3 linked regions of the Macaca mulatta genome follow. Each later gene encodes a partner of the first gene's protein in a complex. Links are inferred from orthologs where the notes say so. Each region holds a gene or a part of one and is shown on either strand. Other genes may lie near its edges.

What was found.
Region 2: the proteins of MKI67 (region 1) and PPP1CC are in contact, whole or in part, in a crystal structure (PDB 5J28), measured with the Homo sapiens proteins. The link is inferred for Macaca mulatta from reciprocal best matches to the Homo sapiens genes MKI67 and PPP1CC. Residues at the interface, in NP_002408.3 of Homo sapiens: Arg504, Arg505, Val506, Ser507, Phe508, Gly509, His511, Leu512, Arg513, Pro514, Glu515, Leu516, Phe517, Asp518, Glu519, Asn520, Leu521, Pro522, Pro523, Asn524, Pro526, Leu527, Gly530, Glu531, Ala532, Pro533, Lys535; in NP_002701.1 of Homo sapiens: Val19, Arg20, Gly21, Ser22, Lys23, Pro24, Lys60, Tyr70, Asp71, Leu73, Arg74, Glu77, Tyr78, Lys168, Ile169, Asp242, Leu243, Tyr255, Phe257, Arg261, Pro270, Asn271, Ser284, Asp286, Thr288, Leu289, Met290, Cys291, Ser292, Phe293.
Region 3: the proteins of MKI67 (region 1) and NIFK are in contact, whole or in part, in an NMR structure (PDB 2AFF), measured with the Homo sapiens proteins. The link is inferred for Macaca mulatta from reciprocal best matches to the Homo sapiens genes MKI67 and NIFK. Residues at the interface, in NP_002408.3 of Homo sapiens: Thr9, Ile10, Lys11, Arg12, Ser13, Pro18, His19, Phe20, Pro21, Ser23, Leu24, Arg31, Gly32, Ile33, Glu34, Cys35, Asp36, Ile37, Arg38, Ile39, Gln40, Leu41, Pro42, Val43, Val44, Ser45, Lys46, Thr66, Asn67, Ile91; in NP_115766.3 of Homo sapiens: Val228, Asp229, Ser230, Gln231, Gly232, Pro233, Thr234, Pro235, Val236, Cys237, Phe241, Leu242, Arg245, Gln248, Val249, Leu252, Asp256, Lys257, Asp259, Glu260, Ile261, Val262, Phe263, Lys264, Gln265, Pro266, Ile267.

Annotation. Positions count from the first base shown.
Region 1 is NC_133414.1:140,140,585-140,145,654, forward strand, and holds part of MKI67 (proliferation marker protein Ki-67), read right to left. Parts: coding exon 3,308-5,070; intron 2,119-3,307; coding exon 1,684-2,118; intron 1-1,683. UniProt on the Homo sapiens protein: Protein that associates with the surface of mitotic chromosomes and acts both as a chromosome repellent during early mitosis and chromosome attractant during late mitosis.
Region 2 is NC_133416.1:117,904,441-117,909,510, forward strand, and holds part of PPP1CC (serine/threonine-protein phosphatase PP1-gamma catalytic subunit), read right to left. Parts: intron 1,641-5,070; coding exon 1,536-1,640; intron 23-1,535; coding exon 1-22. UniProt on the Homo sapiens protein: Protein phosphatase that associates with over 200 regulatory proteins to form highly specific holoenzymes which dephosphorylate hundreds of biological targets.
Region 3 is NC_133417.1:15,727,207-15,732,376, reverse strand, and holds the start of NIFK (MKI67 FHA domain-interacting nucleolar phosphoprotein), read right to left. Parts: upstream 3,391-5,170; 5' UTR 3,344-3,390; coding exon 3,239-3,343; intron 2,239-3,238; coding exon 2,101-2,238; intron 1-2,100.

The sequences.
Region 1 (5,070 bases):
CCAGACTCAGTCTCAAAAAAAAAAAAAAAAAGAAAGAAAAAGTGAATCCAACCAGGACTAAGTCTTTTGGGTCTTATAAACCAAGCAGCTCCCAAAGACAGAACTATCCCCAACTTGCACGCAGGGGACCTGCCTTGGCCTTCACTCTTGCAGTTCTCACCTCTTGGCTAAGGGGGAGGGACCATGGTGAAAAGCATGGCTATAAGCTTCTTACTGGAAAAAATCTGTTATATATGCATTTTCTAGGACTACCGACACCCACCGAAGAACTCAGCAATAGAGGAGCATGTATGTGTTGGACGTCTCCTGGGTGCTTGTGTGTGAGAAGAGGCTGGAACGCGCCTGGCAGAACACACCGGGCCTGGCTCAGTCTTGGGCCTGGTTGCTCTGTGTTTAGGTATCACCCTAGTTAAAAGATTTGCTTTCACCCTTCTTTTGTTTCATTCTGATGAAGCAGCACCTTCCAGACTGTGAATTTGGTGAGCGCCTAGAGCCTGTGTTTTATTGTAAGATGGACGGGTGAACGTGCTCACCCACATCAGCTGTTGCATCCCTGGTGTCCCTGTGGTCTCTAGGACCTCGTCTGGCACTGTCAGATGTCTTCTGCTTCCAGCCTGCCCCAGAAGTAGTCTCTGACTTAGGACACCTGTGTGGGCATCAGTGTCCTTGTTGAGCCTCCCCTCTTCCCTCTCTGGAACAGTCTATGGGCATCTCCCCACTAGGACTTCCTGCCCACCATCCAGACACACAAGCCCTCCGCCTCCACTGGCTGCCTGGCTATGCAGCAGGTATTGGGGAATCTTTCCTCTTCTCGGCAGTTGAAGCTTCCTGATTTGTGCTGAAGGTCTGTCTGGACAGCTGTACTTGCCAGAATTCTGTATCTGAAGAGGTTATTGCTACACCAGTTTCGTTTGCTGAACTCACAATATGGTAGTTTTAGGTCCAAATTTTGTGTGTGCTAAGAATTACACTTATACCACTCACAAACAGGGAGCAATTCAACCTATTTTTATTTTAGCTAAATCAAGTATTCCCCAGAAGAACACTAATGGAATCTAATCATTCTTATCGATTTGTCCACATGCTTGTAATTATGTGTGGCTAAACTTGATGTGAGTTCAGTAGCACTTAAAGCTCATTAGCTTAGATAGTCTCTGGCTAGAGGGGGGTTGGAGGGCAGAAGCACTCCCCACTGATCAGGAATTCTCACATAGTCAGCGTGTGTCTCAGGGCCACCCCAACCTCTGTTCCTTCTACCTTTCCAAAGAATTCCTTGGACATTTTTCTGTTTCAATAGTTTGTTTTTTTTGGGGGGGGGGAAGAACTTTTCTGTTTCAATAGGTGTTTTTGAACTACAGAAAGGCTGAAGACAGCTACCTGCAATTGTATCATGAGGTACATCATAAGCAGTCAATTAGCCACTAGACAAATTCCTTTTCTTTCTGAAGAAAGTCTTCATAATGTGAATTTGCTATTTGAAGTGGAATCCCCAAAGCAGACACAACAAAATATAACTAAAATGACAAAACGTATGTCTTAGGATAATGCTCCTTCCATGAATGTAACTGGGAGCTGGCAGAGGGCTGTTGAAAATAATGCTTTTTGTTTGCCTTTGCAACCTTGGGCAAAAAAATAGATCAAAACACTGTCTCTTCTAAAAACGGAAAACAGTAAATAGCTTACCTTCTTTGGATTTTCTGCACACCTCTTGACACTCCGCGTTACTCTCTGCACAGATTCACTCTCCAAAGTGCTTGCTGCAGACTGGCTTTTCGTCTTTCTTGATCTCAAACACATGGAGTCTGAATTTCCTGCTTCTCCTTTCCCTTCCTGATTCTGCATGAGAACCCCTGCGCTCTTCTGCCCTCCGCTCTCCTCTGCCACCTTAGGCTGGGAGCTCTTATTCGGTCTCACAGACCTCAAGCACCTTTTGTTTTCACTGACTTTGCCTCTAGGTATGGGTTTCCAGGCTCCGTCATCTGGATTCTGAATGTCCATCTCTGGGGAGGTCTTCATTTCATTTCTGTTTATTTCTATTCTTTCTGCTAATACCAGGACCTCAGTTATTTGCTGTTCTACATCAGTCTTATTTTGGCGTCTGGAGCGCAGGGATATTCCCTAAAGAAATGAGAAGACATCCACAGAATTCCAATAATTAGTAAAACAAATTCAAAATTCAACAGGGAGAACAATCAACAATAGTAAACTAAAAGGAGAAATCATTTGAAAATTACTCACTGATGAATTTTCTAAGAAACCTGTCATCTAAGATAGTCAAGGTAATGCCTTGGTACTTTGTTCCTATGGAGAAATGACTGTCTCTGCTGACAAATTACAAATAAGGCATTCAGGATAAATTTCAATAACAATGCCTAAAAAGACATATATCAACTCTAATTTTTACAGTTTATAGAAAGAAGCTCCATTATTCATTCATTTACAGAGAGTAAATGAACTCCTATTCCTTTAACCATCACTGCTAAGGCAGAATAGGAAATTACCATTTCTGGAGTTTCCCCAAACTTCTCCGGATGCAGTAGGAACCTCTCTAACAGTCCAGACAGTTCCCCCCTTCTCAAGAATACACACTCCCTATCGATATTGTTCTGATAGTTAAAATAGTGACATAGATATTATTTTTAACCCAGTCCTGGTCTTGGTGACAGTATCTAGAACATAGAACTGAACCACCCACCTATCCTCTGATCAATTTTTCAAACATATGAAGATGAACATTACTCATTTGGCTCTTGAGAAACTCTTCTAAGTTTGCATTAATCATTTTATCATTTTTGACTCGTTCTTTTCCCAAATTAGTCTGTTCCCTTTATAGGTCCCAAGAAGATTCTTTACCATGGCCTGCAGTTGTTCACTGTGTTAAATGAAACCCATTTGGGAAATAACCACTTATTTTTTTTTTTTTTTTTTGAGACAGTCTCGCTTAGTCGCCCAGGCTGGAGTGCAGTGGCGCGATCTCGGCTCACTGCAAGCTCCGCCTCCCGGGTTCACGCCATTCTCCTGCCTCAGCCTCCCGAGTAGCTGGGACTACAGGCGCCCGCCGCCTCGCCCGGCTAATTTTTTGCATTTTTAGTAGAGACGGGGTTTCACAGTGTTAGCCAGGATGGTCTCGATCTCCTGACCTTGTGATCCGCCCGCCTCGGCCTCCCAAAGTGCTGGGATTACAGGCGTGAGCCACCGCGCCCGGCCATGATAACCACTTATAATGTCAGGTTACATGCAAAGTATAACACAGAAACTGACAACTATCCAGGATGATATTGGGTGATGTTGTAATACTTCCTCTCACCTTATTTTCAGGGACCGAGTCTTGTAATTTGTGTTCCTCTTTGTTGGTTTTCATGTTGTTGCTGTTCAGCTCTACCACAGGTTCAATTCTTTTTGCAGAAGTCCTCAAACTTCTCTTCATGATGACCATGGGTTCCGGTGATTTGCCTCTCGCCCTGGGAGCAACCCTCTGCTTCTTGCTGGCTGGCAGCTCCTCCGTGATCTCCTCCGGCGCAGGCATGCAGCGCAGCCTCTTGGTTCCTGTGGCGCTTCCATCTTTGCCACCTCCGCTCTTGAAGGGCAGTGGGGGCAGGGAAGTGTTGCTTTTGCTCTGTGATTTTACAGGGTCTGTGGTACTTACCAGGTCTGCCACGGGTTCTACTTTAGGGGCCCGAAGAACTCTTCTGGATGTTTTTAGAGGTTTTCCACTGTCAGGTGTTTTCTTTGGAGCGCTTGTAAAGCTATCAGCAGCACCATTTGCCAGTTCCTCAGTGTGGCCTGGTGTTGGAGAGAGCTCTGGGAAGCTGGCCAGATCTTCTAGGGGTTGGGCCTTTTCCTTAGGTGCTCTTGGCCGTCTCCTGCTGCCAATTACATCTTCTGCGTCCAGCTTCCGCTTTACAGGTTGCTTAAATGCTTTCATGCCTTTGTCCTCGCCTACCGGCTCTTTGTCGGTGTGCGCGGTCTCCCCTGATGTTTGTGTGAGACTGCCGACTGCTAACAGCTCCTCCTTCACTGCTACTTTCTGGGCACGTGTCCTGGGCCGTCTCTTTGAACTTGTTGCAGTGTCTACTAGTTCTGGTGATGATTTGCAGGGTATTTTAGTGGTTTTGTCATCAGTCATTGATTCTTCAGTGTGACCCGGTGCTGGGTCTTTGAAGTCAGCCAGGTCCTCTAGGGCTTGGGCATTTTCCCTGGGTGCTCTTGGCCGTCTCCTGCTGCCAGTTACACTTGCTGCTGGAGCCAGTGTCTGTTTTGCAGATTCCTTCACTGCTTTGATGCCTTTATCTTCACCTACTGGTTCTTTATCTGCGTCCGTGGTTCCCCCTGATGTTTGTGTGAACTTAACTGCTGAAGGCTCTTCTTTTACTTGTACCTTCTGCACACGTGTCCTGAGATGCCTCCTTGTGCTTGCTGTGGTGTCTACTACTTCTACTGGGGGAGATTTGCAGGGTATTTTAGTGGCTTTGCCAGCAGTCAGTGGTTCCTGAGTGTGACCTGATGGTTCAGAGAGCTCTTTGAAGCCGGCCGGGTCTTCTAGGGGTTGGGCCTTTTCCTTAGGTGCTCTTGGCCTTCTCCTGCTGGGTTCCTCTTCTACTGGGTTCGGTTTCTTCTTTGCACGTTGTTTAAATACTTTGATGCCTTCATCACCACTTGCTAATTCTTTGTGTGTGTGTGTGCTTTGCCCTGATGTTTGTGTGAGCCTCTCAAGTGCTGAGAGCTCCTCTTTCACTTCTTTCCTGAGACGTGTCTTGGGGTATCTCTTTGTGCTCGTGGCAGTGTCTGCTGGTTCTGCTGGGGGAGATTTGCAGGGCATTGTTGTGTTTTTGTCAACAGTCATTGACTGTTCAGTGTGACCTGGTGCTGGGAAGAGTTCTCTGAAGCCAGTCAGGTCTTCTAGAGCACTGGCCTTTTCCTTACGAGTTCTCAGCTGCCTCTTGCTACCAGTTACATTTGCTGCTGGGTCCAGGATCTGCTTTGGAGACTCCTTAAATGCTTTGATGCTCTTACTATCTCCTGTTGGCTGTGTGTGTGTTTGCGTAGTCTTCCCTGACGTCCGTGTGAGCT
Region 2 (5,070 bases), on another chromosome or scaffold:
GATTGAAGATCTGGTGATAAACCTATTCAATGAGGAAAAGAAAAACGAAGAAAGCAAAACTTTTAAAAGGATATTACCCCTTCAAAAGTTCCATTTGTCTACAGAGAAATTCAATAATACTGACACAAAAACTGAAATCGGATTATATTTTATTTACTTTTGGTTAAAAGAAAAAAAACACACACACACAGAAAAAGGACAACTGGATACACACTAGAATTATATGCAGTAATGCATGGGGTGCTGCAGGTTTAAACAGTACATGGAGGCAGTTATATTATACAGAACACTGTAAAACAAAATCCAGTGATTTAAAAAACTCTTCTACGGGCTTCCCCAGTTGATGACAATAATGAGCAATGTTACGATTGATGGCTTATAATGACTGAGCTGAGAAGATAAGGATGCTCAGTGAGAGGTAGTTCTCTAGGAAATCTGCACTATTCATAGACCATTAAAATCTACAAGAGCTCATTGTATCGAGTTACAATATGGGATGCATATTATAAGAGTTAAAAACCATGTATCCAACTCTACCAAAACCTGTGTAAGTATAGAAGCACAGAGATAAAAGACATTATGTTGGCTTTTTGATGGCTGATTAATTTCACACCATACATGAAAAGAAATTCTCTTTGCAATTACTATTTTAATTACATTATAGAAAGCACAACCACTGAGCAAAGAAAAATAGCTTATAAAATTTGTATGTATATATTTTTAGAGATAGGGTCTTCCTCTGTTGCCTAGGCTGGAGTGCAGTGGTGCGATCATAGCTCACTGCAGCCTTAAACCCCTGGGCTCAAGTGATCCTCCCGCCTCAGCCTCCCAAATAGCTATGGCTACAGGTGTGCACCATTACACCTGGCTAATTTTTAACACTTTTTCTAATGACAGGGGTCTCGATATGTTACAAGCTGTTCTCATATTCATGGCATCAAGCAATCCTTCCACCTTGGCCTCTCAAAAGTGCTGGAATTACAGATGCGAATTACTATGCCTGGACAAAATAACTTTTAAAATCCAAGTCAGAGAAAGTTCTGAGAGGATAAAAAACAAACAAGGGAAAATCTATTCACATCTTCAGTGTTCTAGAGGATCCCTGGCACAGCAAATTACATATTGTTCATTTTATAGTTAAAAATACTTTTCCGAGCCGGGCACGGTGGCTCACGCCTGTAATCCCAACACTTTGGAAGTCCAAGGCAGGAGGATTGTTTGAGCCCAGGAATTTGTGACCAGCCTGGGCAACATGGTGAGAACTCATCCTTACAAAAAATAAAATAAAAATAAACATTTTCTGCTCTATTTTCAATCCTAATTTACAGAGTCTAGAATTCCCTGTAATAAATCAGTTCCTTAAGATTTTTATCCAAGTAATCCTGGCTGTATCGGAGTGACAGTGCAATGCAACACATCAACAAAGGAGAGTGTTCTGTCAGAGGAAGTCATCCCAATGGTAACTCACAAATGTTAAAGTGTTCATCCTTTGGAAGGGATCAAAACCTATTTGGAACAAAAATCAGCCCAACTACCTCCATGACAGCAGAATATCTTCTCATCCACGATGGCTGCTATCGGTAAACAGTTAAAACAGTCTGTGAAAGTTTTCCATAGTTTAATGTTGTATCTTCTTTTACCTGTGATCAAAAAGAGAGTATTACTGTTCCGTAGGCTCATTCTCTCAGGATTAACTTCCCCCAAAGCAAGATTCTGGGTGCTTTTTAAGCAAACGAAACTATGTTTTTATTAAGAATCTTAATAAAACTGTCTTATTTTAACACTCTTTTAAAATAAGAGCTGGGCGTGGTGGGTCAGACCTGTAACCCCAGCACTTCGGGAGGTTGAGGTAGGAGGATCGCTTGAGCCCAGGAGTTCAAGAACAGCTTGGGCAACGTAGTGACACCCCATCTCTTTAAAGAAAGACTCTCCTGGAGGGAAGGGGTTTAGGAGAGACACATCTGATCTAAAAGCAATGACTTACATTTTCACATGAAATCTTTTTAAATTCCACAGAAGTATGAAACCAGAATTCCAGATTTGATAATGATTAAGGATTGCCATCAAATCCCAGGAATTATCTGGTAGCATCAATTCTGTCTGAAATCCAGTATGCTTTGTCCAATCTCAACGCAGCTAGTTCCCTAATTCTTAAGGCGATTACGAACTTACACCATGTGGCATTACGACCTTCCTTCTGAGGAATCCTGAGTTAGCACCCATCCCCCATGTACTCCCCTCAACAACCTACAGATACCAGAGGATCCCCAGGCCTCAGTGCTCTAGCAGGAGGCACAATGATCACACGGCAGTGGTGCCTCTCACAGGCACTACAGGGCATTTGTTTCCAACACTGCACAGACTCCACATGCTCCCACAGGCCTGATGTCACAGGGTGGTCACGTTCTCTCACCAGCACAGGCATCCACACATTCTGGAGTCAGAGTGCAGTTCTGACAGAAATATGCCACTATGCACTGTTTCTACAGGAAACTGATGTTCTGAGTTTAAAACCTACTCACATACCTTGCAAGAACAAATTTCTCTGGATTGGTTGAGGACTGTCCAATTGTCCAGATGCCTTTGTTTCCTGTACCTTACTAAGCACAATCTTTAAAAACCAACAGTTTGGCCAGGCGGGGTAGCTCACATCTGTAATCCCAGCTCTTTGGGAGGTCAAGGCGGGCAGATCATCTGAGGTTGGGAGTTTGAGACCAGCCTGACCAAGATGGAGAAATCCCTTCTTTACTAAAAATACAAAAATTAGCTGGGTGTGGTGGTGCATGCCTGTAATCCCAACTACTTGGGAGGCTGAGGCAGGAGAATCGCTTGAACCCGGGGAGGCGGAGATTGTGGTGAGCCTTGATTGTGCCATTGCACTCCGGCCTGGGCAACAAGAGCGAAACTCCATCTCAAAAAACAAACCAAACCAAACCAAACCAAACCAAACCAAGAGTTTGTCCCTATTAGTCTTTTCCTGGGGACTACAGGGACATGGAAAGGTTTAAACCTGTACCTCTCCTTTGAGAGTTAGGGCCAGCCCAAACAACTGACCTGAACCACACTTCCCACCCTGTAATGCAAATCAAGCAGTCTAGGGAGTTTAGCACAGGGCTTGAAATGTAATGTAAATTCAACAAATGTTTGCCTTCTCTCTGCAGAGAAGAGTGTTATCTTTTCTCCTAGTAATTTCTGGTTTCTCAATGACTGGGTCTAACTCTGTGGGTCACCCTGTTGCGCATTTCTTTAGAGGCTACTAACTCCTTCACTGGAGGGGTTCTGAAAGTTCAACAAACTCCTCCCGCCAGGCTGAGGAGGCTGAGGCAGGAAAACTGCTTGAACCTGGGAGGCAGAGGTTGCAGTAAGCCAAGATCGCACCATTGCACTCCAGCCTGGGCAACAAGAGTGAATGAAACTCCATCTAAAAAAAAAAAAAAAAAAAAAAACCAACAAACTCCTCCTTACGAAAGGCTGATGGGCAATCTGCAAAAACACCACCTCCCATGTCCAACAGCAATACTACTACTAACCACCACCACCACCACAAGATGAGTATCCTTAATCCAAGATGCTCCAAAATTTGAAACTTTTTGAGCACTCACATGATGCTCAAAGGAAATGCTCACTGGAGCATTCCGGATTTCAGATTTTTGGATTAGGGATGTTTAACCAGTAATTATAACACAAATATTCCAAAATTAAAACAAAACAAAACAAAACAAAACACAAAACTCTGAAACCTGCAACACTTCTAGTCCCAAGCATTCCAGGTAAGGAATACTTAACCTGTATTATAAGAACAGGGCTGCTGCCTTAGCCCCCCAGTGATAGTGACTTCCTCTTTCCCCAAGGTCAGCTTCACTTCTGGATATTTTTTTTTTTTTGAGGTGGGGTCTCACTCCGTCACCCAGGTGGAGTAAAGCAATGTGATCTCGGCTCACTGCAACCACAGCCTCCCGAGTTCCAGGGATTCTTCTGCCTCAATCTCCTGAGTAGCTGGGACTACAGGTGTGCACCACCACACCTAATTTTTGTATTTTTAGTAGAGATGGGTTTTCACCATGTTGGTCAGACTGGTCTTGAACTCCTGACCTCAAGTGATCCACCCACCTTGGCCTCCCAAAGTACTGGGATTACAGGCATGAGCTACCATGCCCGGCCTTTGATTCTTTAGTTATGCCACAAACTCCAGTTTCTTCTCTTGCCGATTTCTGCTGGCCTCTCCATGAAAAATCAGTTTGCTTCCTCCTTTTGCCTCTCAGCACTTGAAGCGTGGGGCTGTCTCTTTCTCTTCTCTCTTCATATCCTCCCTAAGGCCACCTCAAACCACTAGGAACATCTGGGTCCTAAAAGGTTTAACCAGGGAAATCGTCTAGCTTCCAAATCCTAAGATTCTGAGCCATAACCTGTAATGCAGTTTCCCATTACTGTACATCAGACAGCTCCGATAGCAGAAATGGATCAACAAACACTCCTGTTTTACCCAACAACATATACCTCAGCCTTTTCATCACATTTGCAAAATTTAAACAAACAAACAAAAAAGAAATGGTAGTATAAAGTACTTATGTACCTGGAAAACAGGCAGTGGTTTTAAAATTGTCCCATGAAAATCAACATTTGAATACAACTTTTCATTTTAATAAAATTAATATATATAATATATATACTAAATGTCTGCAAGCCTTCAACCAGAAGCCACCTATGTCAAGGGCACTTTTATGCCCACAAGTAGACTGGATGGCAAATTGTATCTGCCTGATGGGAGAGAGGATGCTTGATCTATAAACTGTGTTGATGATCAAACAGGAGTCGAAACTGATACCAACCGACACTGATCTTCTAAGTCATTTTAAAGGCCTCTGCATTGAGTAGAAACTGAAACTGATGCAGCTAGTATCATTACGTTAGGATAGAAGTCACAACAATGAGGTCAAATGGATTTGAATTCATCAGTGCAAACATGAAAAGTATTTACTGGGCTAACAGTTATGTAAAAGGAACCCTTTCTTAACTCAAGAGTAACACTTGGAATAAGTATCCAAAACACAATGTTGCCTGGGTGTGGTG
Region 3 (5,170 bases), on another chromosome or scaffold:
TGTGCGCCTGTAATCCCAGCTATTCAGGAGACTGAGGCAGGAGATTCGCTTGAACCCAAGAGGCTGAGGGCGCAGTGAGCCAAGATCGCGCCACTGCACTCCAGCCTGGGCAACAGAGTGAGACTCCGTTTCGGGGAGGGGGGGGGGAAGGCCAGCACGGTGGCTCACGCTTGTAACCCCAGCACTTTGGGAGGCCAAGGCGGGAGGATCATGAGGTCAGGAGATCGAGACCATCCTGGCTAACACAGTGAAACCCCCTCTCTACTAAAAAAGTACCAAAAAAAAAAAAATTAGCCAGGTGTGGTGGTGGGCGCCTGTGGTCCCAACTACTCGGGAGGCTGAGGCAGGAGAATGGCGTGAACCCGAGAGGCAGAGCTTGCAGTGAGCCGAGATCACACCACTGCACTCCAGCCTGGGTGACAGAGTGAGACTCTGTCTCAAAAAAAAAAAAAAAAAGTTAGCCAGGCATGGTGGCGGGCACCTATAATCCCAGCTAGTCTGGAGGAGGGCAGGAGAATCGCTTGAACCTGGGAGGCAGAGGTCACAGTCAGCTGAGGAACTGTGCTACTGCACTCCAGCCCGGGCGACAGAGCGAGACTCCGTCTCAAACAAAACAAAACAACAACCAAAAAAACCCTGAATAGAATGAAATAGAAAATCAGCAAATCACACAAAACAAGTTTAAATATTGTCTCATATGGCTTTTATTTCAGTTATGCTTACATGTATGTGTATGTGTGCTGGTTTGTGCTATGAAACTTTTTTTGAAAACCCTCATCTTCTCTGTGATGGTAAAAACTTACTTCTTATTGTGAGCCAGTCTGCAAAATGCTCTTCTAGAAAAATCTGTCTATACCTGCACAAAGATTGTTCCTAGCAGCTTCATGTAAAGAGTTAAAAATAGTAAAAAACCTAATGTTCAGGCTAGGCACAGTGGCTCGCTCACACTTGTAATTCCAGCACCTTCGGAGGCCGAGGTGGGCGGATCACCTGAGGTCAGGAGTTTGAGACCAGCCTGGCCAAAACATGGTGAAACACGGTTTCTACTGAAAATATAAAAATTAGCCAGGTGCAGTGGCCAGTACCTGTAATCTCAGCCACTTAGGAGGATGAGGCAGGAGAATCACTTGAATGTGGAGGCGGAGGTTGCAGTGAGCTGAGATCGTCCCACTGCACTACAGCTGCCTGGTGACAAGAGTGAGATTGTCTCAAAAAAAAAAAAAACCCCAAAACAAAACCTAATGTTCAATAGGAGCGTGGATAAACTTTAGTTACCTAAGTAACAAGCAATGATGATAACAAAGGCACTAGAGTTACACGGATAAAGCTCAGATTATTGAGTAAAAAAATTCAGCTGAAGAATGATAGAAATAATTTTAAAATAATACTATATGTACATTTATATATGTACACACGTGTTGTAGCACATATATATATAGATACAGTAAAAACTTATAAACATATATAGCAATGAAAACTGAATTTGTGGCCAGGAGCGATGGCTCACGCCTGTAATCCCAGCACTCTGGGTGGCTGAGGTGGGAGGATCACAAGGTCAGGAGTTCGAGAACAGCCTGGCCAACTAATGAAACCCCGTCTCTACTAAAAACACAAAAAAAATGTAGCCAGGTGTGGTGGCAGGTGCCTATAATCCCAGCTACTTGGGAGGGTGAGGCAAGGAGAATCGCTTGAACCTGGGAGGCGGAGGTCGCAGTGAGCTGAGATCGCACCACTGCACTCCAGTGCAAGCTTCTGTCTCAAAAAAAAGAAAACGGAATTTGTGAATTTAATTCCCTAATTAAAGGAGAAGGTGAAGAACACTGGGAAGGGTACAAAAGGGACCTCAATTCTACCTATAATCTGTATCTTTAGGACAACTAACAGATGATGGATGCACACCCTATCCCCTAGATGCTAAATCAAATAGGTGCCTATGGCTACAACCCAAGTTTATGTGCCGGGATTCTATGTTTCAGATTCTAAACCTCCACTCTTCTTTTTGGAATGAAATCTGATAAGAGTATGTGAACGTGCTCTTTAATGTCAAGAATCACACACATTTGAAAAACAAAACGTCAAATCCAACTTTAAAAATCTTACCCTTTTACTTCTGGACAGTCTGAATCGTGTCACAGTGCCAAACTGGGAGAAATACGAAAAGATCTGGGTTTCGTTAAGTAGGTTAGGTAGGTGGCCCACATAGACTACTCCAGAAGTAAGTCGTTCTTGTTTTTTCCGCTGAAGACATAAAGACCAGGTAAATTAAATATTTTTTAAAATAAGAAAATCACATTGTAACAAAACTTACAAAACCCCTAGCCCTAGGCCCAAGAACCTACTCCGCATTTCCACTTACCACAGTAGTAATTAAAGAAGTGGCTGTTGAGTGTCTCTCTCCCCACAAAGGCCATGGCCAAGCAGTAATCAACTATCTTTCCAGCCTGGCATCCCAGCACCCAGTATAATGTTAGTGCTCAATAACTATGTCAATCAACGGATAAGCAAGGACATCTTCGAACAAGCCATTTTGGATCTTCTGCCCAGAGAACTCTACATAAATATAGCCTTCAATTTTGTATGCATATTACTGTTTACTCGCATTTCATCGAAAAATTTTCGAGACGCTTGCTAACTCTCACAATACAGATTAGCCTTTCAGCGTCTCAACCATCATACCCTTACCTCTGTAACAAGAACTTCTAAGTTTTCCTGTGTAGTTTATGCTAAAAACCACAGAAAGTATAAGCGATGTCAGGGGCCCTGGTCAGCAAGCGGAACCTGGCAACTACTCTATTTTAATAACTCCCAGATCACCAACCCGGCATACAAACCTCCCGAATGTGTTAAGTCTGGGGCCCCCGTTTTCGGGGGGAACGCGGAAGCGTGACAGGTCTAACCCGGAGACAACCTGTGGTATGGGAACCTATTCCCTCCAGGTGGTTCCCTCCGCGGCTTCCGTCACCCCAATACTTCCCCCTTACCCTCCACATGAAGGCTCCAAGGCCTCAGCGGCCAAACCTCTCCATCATTTACCCACCAGCGTAAACCCTTTAGTCTCAGAAACCGTGGCCTGCAAGCTTAAGAGGTGGGTCCCTGATTCGGTCAAATCCGCTAAGGATACTCTGGAAGGCGTGCGCGAAGGCAAGGGGAGTCCGGGCGGGGAACCGCGCAACCCCGGATACCCCCTAGACCCTGTCCGTCGCCCCCGCTCGCAGCCTGGACCAGGGTGCCTGCTCACCTGGGTTATGCGCTTGCGAACCTGCGCCACCTCCTTTTGAAACTCGGCATCTTCCTGCGGGTTAAGCGACAGGATCGGCCCAGCTGGGCCAGAAAAAGCCGCCATGCCAAAAGCGGCCAACACTAACTCCACGCGGCGCTCCCGGAAACGACGGGCTCCCAGCTCCCCTGAGGCGGAAGTAGAGGTAGGACAGGGGCGTGGCGAAGCGCGGAGGCGAGGCGTGGCGAGGGGTGGGGAGGGCCATGAGTCGCGCGCGGGGTTGGAGCAGGAGTAGCACGGAGAAGCGGGGGTGGGGCACGAGGCGCGGGGCGCGGGACGCGGGACGGGGCATAAATTGTGCCGCGGTGCGAGGGCGGGGCACGAGGCCTGGCGAGGGGCGGGGAGAGGCATGAGTCGCGCGGAGGCGCGGCACCGGGCGTAGTTGTGCCGAGGCGGGGGTGGGGAGTGGGGCGGGACGGGGGTGGGGTGGGGACAGGGGTGGGGGTGGAGACGGGGCGGGGGTGGACAGAGCGGTGCGGGGCAGGGGGGCCCCGGGGCGGCGGGGAGTGGGGTCTGGGGCTGGGCTGGGGATAGTTTCCGCGCCCTCCGCTGTAGGGGCGCCGATTGGCTTGGCTTAAGAGTGCCTGAAACAATTACCTTCACGCCTACTTAGAAAGGCGGTCTACAATTACAAAACAGTACTGGTGCCCGAGATGCTGCTCACATTCCTCAATTTGCTTATTATTATTTTCGAAACAGAGTTTCCGCTCTGGTTGCCCCAGCTGCAGTGAAATGGCTCAATCTGAGCTGACTGCAACTTCTGCCTTCAGAGTTCGATTCTCCTGCCTCAGTCTCCCGAGTAGCTGGGATTACTGGCGCCCGCACCATGCCCCACTGGCTTATTTTTAGTAGAAATGGGGTTTCACCATGTTGGTCAGGCTGGTCTCGAAGTCCTGACCTCAGGTGATCTACCCGCCCCAACCTCCCAAAGTGCTGGGATAACAGGTGTGAGCCACCGTGCCCAGCCCTAATTTGGTTATTTCACTCACTAGTGTGTGAGCCCCTCCTGTGTGGAGACCCCTAGAGAATTTACAGCCTGGGGCAGCATGGCTGCTTTGAGAGATGAAAGAGCCTCGTGGGGGAGAGGCACACTGGGTGACGCAGGAGGGTCCCCCTTAGGAGGTGGTGTTGGCAGCGAAGCCTGAAGGCTAAGGAGCAGGGTCTGGAGAACTGAGGCCCTGCCATCTGCTGGATCAGACAGGCCTACACATGTGTTCCTAGGTATAGAAAGAAGGACCCAGCAGTGGGGTTGGAGCCCAGCGTAGGAGGGAAGAGCTGCGAGGGGGCAGGCTGGAGTCCCATGGCTCTGTGTGTCAAAGTATGAAACTGGGGTTTTGTTGTAAATGCGAGGGGGTGGTTGGGTTTTAAGCGAGGCTGTGGCTGTTTACACCTTTTTTGTCCAGAACTGGTGGATTCTTGGTCTCCCTGACTTCAGGAATGAAGCCACAGACCCTCGTGGTGAGTGTTACAGTTCTTAAAGATGGTGTGTCCAGAGTTTGTTCCTTCTGATGTTCGGACATGTTCAGAGTTTCTCCCTTCGGGTGGGTTTGTGGTCTCACTGCCTTCAGGAGTGAAGCTGCAGACCTTTGCGGTGTTACAGCTCTTAAAGGCGGTGCGTCTGGAGTTGTTCATCCCTCCTGGTGGATTTGTGGTCTTGCTGGCTTCAGGAGCGAAGCTGCAAACCTTTGTGGTGAGTGTTACAGCTCATAAAGGCGGTGCACACGCAAAGAGTGAGCAGCAGCAAGATTTATTGCAAGAGCAAAAGAACAAAGCTTCCACAGCATAGAAGGGGACCTGAGCAAGTTGCCACTGCTAGTTGGAGCGGCCTTCTTTTATTCACTTATCTGACCCCACCCACATCCTGCTGATTGGTCCATTTTACAGAGAGCTAAT